Linked DNA regions of Cricetulus griseus. The protein of the gene in region 1 interacts with the protein of each later gene in a pairwise test. Links are inferred from orthologs where the notes say so. Each region holds a gene or a part of one and is shown on either strand. Other genes may lie near its edges.

Region 1 (3,831 bases):
GAAATTTATTTTCCCTGAAGTAGGAATAACTATTTGCATTTCAGGTTTGTTTTTGAGAGTGAGGTGTGATGTAAACACTGGAACTTCTCCCAGTGTTTGGTTCAGTGTACCCGTGCATGACTATATTCAGTTTAGCTAGCTAATGGAAAGCAGATCTCATACTCCCTGAGATCAAATCAGGGAGCTTGGATGTCAAGTATGTGAAATGTGCTTTTAATTTTTCTTACTTGACCATTGTAGGCACTTAGGCCCTTTATTCCCAGCCTGTTTGTCCCCACTGTGCTGCTGTGAGGTGGCCTGATAATGAAGTCCACTCTCCTTTTAGATGTAGAAGATCTTTATGAGCCAGTGGCGACTCCTTTCTCATACCCCAATGGACTCAGTGAAAATACAACCGTTGTTGAGAAACTGAAGCACATGGAGGCGCGGGCGCTGTCTGCTGAGGCTGCATTGGCTCGAGCACGTGAGGATCTGCAGAAAATGAAGTAACTACCTGTCCAACCAGACACTGCTTTAGGTGTAGTGTAGTTAATGGCAAGAACACTTGGGATGCTAGACACTCAGTGTATATATTTACTTTAGGAGTACTAAAGACATGCAGCATTGCAGCATTTCATAGTGTGTGAATATATATTTCTCTAGAATTGCATTTTTATGTATATATTTACTTTAGGAGTATTAAAGACACGCAGCATTTCATAGTGTGTGAATATAGAGTACTCTAGATCGCATTTTTATGCACCTGTGAGTACTTCATAATTTGCATGTGTGGCTCTTCTAATTTCCTCTTGAATATTTGTTTTTAATATTTCCTGTCTTTCAAGTTTCTTGTTTCTAGTTGGTTTCTCCTCTTTAATTGTCCTATCCTAGATTTTCAGAAATGGAAGAATTATTATTTTTTAGGTGTTGGGAAAATACAGTGTTGAAATGTTGTTTTTAAAAAATTAAAATGTGACAGTAGTGTGGAATTTGACCAAAGAATCATATAGATGGGGGCAGTTTTTACCCCACTGAGTTCTCATTCTCCAGGAGTCTTGCATCTCCTGGGGGACCTTGTTAGTCTAGAGGTGGGCACATGTGTGTCTATAGTATGTCCACTTCCCAGCTTCTGTCTTCTGGATCTGTATGCTGGTTGCTAGTACCTCAGTTCCTATTTGATGGCTAGCCAGAATGTCTTGTGCTAGGGAGATCAGAGTCCATCCAGGTTCCTAGTCCTTTTATGCTTGGGAACTTAGTCACCTATCACCAGCTAAACTTTTTACCCTTTTGTCCTCACTCTTGTGTACATTGGAGATCACTAATATGTCACCACCTGAGTGTGAGAACTGGAGTTGGTAGGGTCAGCTAACTTGGGTCTGCTTTCTGCTCATTTAACCCGTTTTAAGAACACTCAGAACAGTAGGAAAAATACATTTGAATAAAGCAGTGCATTGACGGGTTACCCAGATACTGCTTCAGATCCAGCAGAGGGCGCCGTCGGGGCTTCATCTAGAAAAGGATTTAAGATGCTGGGCACACTGTCCCCCTCCTCCTCCCTTTTCTCATCCTCCAGCCTTGCCTTTTCTCATGGTCCAATAAACCTGTCTCAAGGGTGTATTTCAAATTGATTACAGACAATTTGCTCAGGACTTTGTGATGAACGTAGATGTCAGAACCTGCTCCTCCACAACTGCCATTGCAGACCTGCAAGAGGATGAAGATGGTGTCTACTTCAGCTCCTACGGGCATTATGGGATACATGAAGAAATGCTAAAGGTTGGACAGAGTTCATGTGCATCAAATCTGCCAAGGGAGAACCTACAGAATAGGCCTTAATGCTCTTCGTGTGTGTGTGTGTGTGTGTGTGTGTGTGTGTGTGTGTTCATGTGCATCAAATCTGCCAAGGAGAACCTACAGAATAGGCCTTAATGCTCTTTGTGTGTGTGTGTGTGTGTGTGTTATACCCCTGGGGCTTAGATGAGTGCTCCTCAGATGAAAAGATTACAAAGGTGTCAACTCCCTTCCTATTTAAGTCAGTATTCATCTTTTCTTTATGAAGCCACTTTTTCCTTGAAATTGAACATTGGGAAAAACAACTGCTTGTGGTTCTGGTCTTCTCAGGTACATCTACAGTGTTAAGTAAGAAGTAAATGGCATGGTTGTTTTTTAACATGGAAAAATAGCAATGCTGACTTGGTCTGGGCAAGTAACCATCTTATAAAGTTTAATTTAAAATAGTTTTCACAGTATTCATGGTGACTGACTTATAACTCACAGAATCACTGATAATAAAGAAATGTTTCCTGATGTGGTCAGACCTGGTATTTGAATCTCTTCAGTTTTGATAGTCATAGTAGTAATGTCCATATAAGATAGAAGTAGTTTCTAACTTTACTTACTGACAGTACATTTTTATCAAATATTAAAGATAACATAAAATAGAACAAATTTTGGATTGTAAAATTTTTAGGTGTTTATCTCTAGGAATTTCAGATGTTACCTTCTCTTTTCCTAAAATTAATCAATTAAAAATCCTTTCTAAAGCCTCATTCCAAAGATTATTCTATTTAAAGGAAGCCCAAGACCTTTAAAGCAGTGTCATGCCATTAATACCATATATCATTTGCTGTCATCTGGGTAATGATGGCATAGCACCACAGACAGTATATAATTACAGACAGTATCATATAAATGAGACTAATTGTGTAAAAGAAATTTGCATGCTCTTGTTTTTATCTAAGTTGTTCGTTTATAAATAAAGTCAGATATTGGGGTAAAAACCTGATAAATCACAGAGTGCAGGAAGAGCAACCTGGAGAGCCAGCAAGTGCATCTTTCTCCACATATCCCAGACTAAAAAAGACTGTAAATCTTTAAGTCTCTCCCTACTCCTTCCTGTGTGTCTTCTCTATCAGTTTCCTTGGGTCCTCTGTATTCTTTATGGCTAATCAACTAGTTGCTGGCTCTGTCCCCAATCCAAGGTTAATTGTATTAACACAGTCTCAGAGTTTCACAGTGTGATCAAATATCCTGAAACAGCATGCTTCATATTTGGGTTATAACTTTTTCTGTAAAGATGATAAAATAGCCATCTAAGCCCAGTTAGCTATTTTAGATCTCTTGTTAACTTAGTGCTTCATGCCCTTTGTATATTTGGTGTGGAACTTGTGTAGCCTTTTCCAGACAGGCCATGGTCACTGAAAGTTCTGTGGATGGAAGTGTTCCTAATTGTACTGATCAGAGAAGGCTGCTTTGCATAGAACAAAGCTCTGCCTAGGACTCTTGTGCCTGTGTGTCAGTGACTAGAGACTGTGACATGTGACCAATGCGAAACTCCTGGATGTACACGAAGACTCCAGCTGATAGGCTGTTTATCTTTAGAGGATCACTTAGGCACTGTCTCTGACTCAGTTTCCCTTTCTGTGGTACAGGATTGCTCTTGTTGATGTTAATGGGTTTGATATTGGTTACGATAAGAAGTAGCTATGCCTTGGAGCAGGCATTTCAGTTTTTAACCAGATCAGGTCTCAGCACAAAGAAACTGTTCAGTGGTATCTTGCTACTATGGAAAACCTACCCAATTCTGACAAGTAATTTCAGATTGGAAAGCACTTAGTATAAGGTATTTTATAGACTAATTGGTGAGTTTTCTTGTTTGGTCACAGACATTTTATCGTAATTGCAATCTCATTTCTAGGGCTTGGATGAATGTAATTGTTTAAGTTTTAAAGACACAGGTGAGGGGGTGTGGGTTAAATGAACTTTAGATAGCTCTTGCTACTCTGGGCCTTTGAAGAAGGGTTGTTGGCTGTAATGCAGATCTGAGCTGCTCCCCAGTCTGCCTGTGTTTGC
Region 2 (2,755 bases), on another chromosome or scaffold:
CAAGAGAGCTGCGGGACACAGGAGCAAAGTACAATGAAACTACTGGGTTTGGAGGCAGCAGCCTGGGCTTAAAGTTCAGTGCAGTTATCACTGTGAACATGGTCACACAACTTACCCATGAGGAGCACCTCTTTACTTCCCTTACAAGGGACACATGGGACCTCTGTCATGTCTGCAACTCTCTCACAGTTCTATCCTTGTGCTAACTGCTGGAGTTCTCATCTCCTACTTTACAGGTAAGACATGTCCAGCCATGGTTCACTCTCAACAGGATGCTTGATTCTAAATCTGTCTCGCCAGGTGACTTATTTTGCATGCCTTACCTGGCCTATACAAGAGTGAAGAGTAACAGAGCTCACACCTTTGATCCCAGCACCTGGGATCACACACCTTTAATCCCAGTGCTAGGGAGTTATATAAGACAGGAACAGGGTCTCAGAGCAGGCGTTCATTCTCCAGCCACATGGAGGATAGGAAGACACTGAAGTCTCAGGATTCTCCAGCCACACTGAGGAGAGGTTACAGTCTGAGGTTTGGTGGAGCCAGGATCCCCTTTCATTCTGAGGTAGAGTGAGAGCTAGTGGCCAGCTGCTTTGCTTTTCTGATCTTCATCTTGAAGTTTGAATTCCAATATCTGTCTCTGGGTCTTTTATTTATCGAGTTACACACAATGTTACTTCTGGCCTTCACACACATGTGCATAGGTGTGCATGCACACACATGTGTGTATACACACAAAGACACATGAATATGTATCCACAAGTACAAACCTCTTAGGAAGGAATAGGAAATCAGAGACAACATTCTGGGATTGGTTTTGTGGCACAAAATGACTGCAGTTTAATCAACTGGTTCACAGAGAACAGGCCTGTTCTACACTAAAGGTAAGCAGATAAATGTATATTTTTATGTGTTTTTTAAAAAGTGTGCTTTTTTTCAACTAACTAATCAGCCTCTAACCCCAGCTATCACTGATTGACAACAGGGTTTTCCTGATCTTATACGATAGCTTCATAAAGTAAATGACAAAATAGATAACACTTCATAAGCGGCAGTGTACAATACAAACTAAGCTATCTTATTAAAAATTAATAAACATTTGTCACAAGTGCTTATGCCTTTGGCATTTGTTTGTTTGTTCTGAGAAGGCTATGACAGGAATTAGCTCTATAGTTCAAGATAGCATCAAACTTAATATGTAGCCCAGGCTGGCCTTGAACTCACAGAAATGTCTCAGGGGCCACGGTCATGGTCGTGGTCGAGGACATGACTGAGGACGTGACAGCAGCCTCGGGGCTCATGGAGGTAAAGCCGAAGACAAGGAGTGGATCCCTGTCACCAAGCTGGGCCATCTGGTTAAGGACATGAAGATCAAGTCCCTGGAGGAGATCTACCTGTTCTCCCTGCCCATTAAGGAATCCGAGATTATTGATTTCTTCCTGGGTGCATCCCTAAAGGATGAGGTTCTAAAGATCATGCCAGTGCAGAAGCAGATTCAAGCTGGCCATCGGACCAGGTTCAAGGCTTTTGTCGCTATTGGGGACTACAACGGTCATGTTGATCTTGGTGTTAAGTGCTCCAAGGAGGTAGCCACTGCCATCAGAGGGGCCATCATCCTGGCCAAACTTTCCATTGTCCCTGTGCAGAGAGGCTACTGGGGGAACAAGATTGGCAAGCCCCACACTGTTCCATGTAAAGTGACAGGCCGCTGTGGCTCTGTGTTGGTGCGTCTCATCCCTGCCCCCAGAGGCACTGGCATAGTCTCTGCTCCTGTGCCCAAGAAGCTACTGATGATGGCTGGTATTGATGACTGCTACACATCAGCCAGGGGCTGCACTGCCACCCTGGGCAACTTTGCCAAGGCCACCTTTGATGCCATCTCCAAGACCTACAGCTACCTGACCCCCGACCTCTGGAAAGAGACTGTATTCACCAAGTCTCCTTATCAGGAATTCACTGACCATCTTGTGAAAGCCCACACCAGAGTCTCTGTTCAGAGGACCCAGGCTGCAGCTGTGGCCACCACATAAGGGTTTTTATACAAGGAAAATAAAGTGAATTAAGTCTGAAAACAAAACAAAACAAGAAAACACAGACATGGAGAGAAAAGCAGGTAGCTGAGAAACTCACTGTTGCCTGTGTGTCCTTGGAGGAATCTGTGCTTACAGTATTGGAAACCAGAAAAGTGCAACTGTAACATGAATACGTTGGACAAAGTAACAGTTCATAACCCCAGGCCAGGTGAAGCAGGATGGCACAAGATTTCAACACACTACTTAAAAGAGCATACCATGTAAAACATATGCATTGCTCCTTTGGGGGATTTTCCATTTAATAGTATTAAGCCAGAGTTGATGTAAGATAACTGAAGTCATGGAAAGTGACATGACAGATGAAGGGAACAACTGTACTCAACAGCCAGATGCATGACCTTCACAGTCTGGCAGACAGCCACCACTGCTACCGAGCAAAAATCACTTCTGATCATCTTGAAGCAACAAGAATGTTTGGTGCAGTCTGCTGTCAGTGTGCAGGCTCACACAATCTTCTCACCTGGTCTTCCTGGAAACCTGGGTCCTGACCACACGAGAGTGCACAGTGCAATGCAGCCATCTTCTCACAGTCCAGGTGGGCGGCGTTCCATAGGAACCACAGCAGGTACGACTGGTCAAGGGTTGCTCTATAGACCTTTCCAGAAGAGCAGTCCAGTATGAGGGACCCCGGCAGGGACTGTAAGGGACTGGGAGGTAGCACA

The links.
Region 2: the proteins of Prmt3 (region 1) and 40S ribosomal protein S2-like interact in binary tests that used the Homo sapiens proteins (3 or more experiments, as listed by UniProt). The link is inferred for Cricetulus griseus from reciprocal best matches to the Homo sapiens genes PRMT3 and RPS2.

What each region holds. Positions count from the first base shown.
Region 1 is NC_048596.1:146,821,944-146,825,774, forward strand, and holds part of Prmt3 (protein arginine N-methyltransferase 3), read left to right. Parts: intron 1-325; coding exon 326-485; intron 486-1,613; coding exon 1,614-1,755; intron 1,756-3,831. UniProt on the Homo sapiens protein: Protein-arginine N-methyltransferase that catalyzes both the monomethylation and asymmetric dimethylation of the guanidino nitrogens of arginine residues in target proteins, and therefore falls into the group of type I methyltransferases.
Region 2 is NW_023276806.1:173,250,641-173,253,395, forward strand, and holds 40S ribosomal protein S2-like, read left to right. Parts: upstream 1-1,273; 5' UTR 1,274-1,364; coding exon 1,365-2,030; 3' UTR 2,031-2,041; downstream 2,042-2,755. Other genes in the region: Gsap (gamma-secretase-activating protein), read right to left, coding at 2,554-2,755.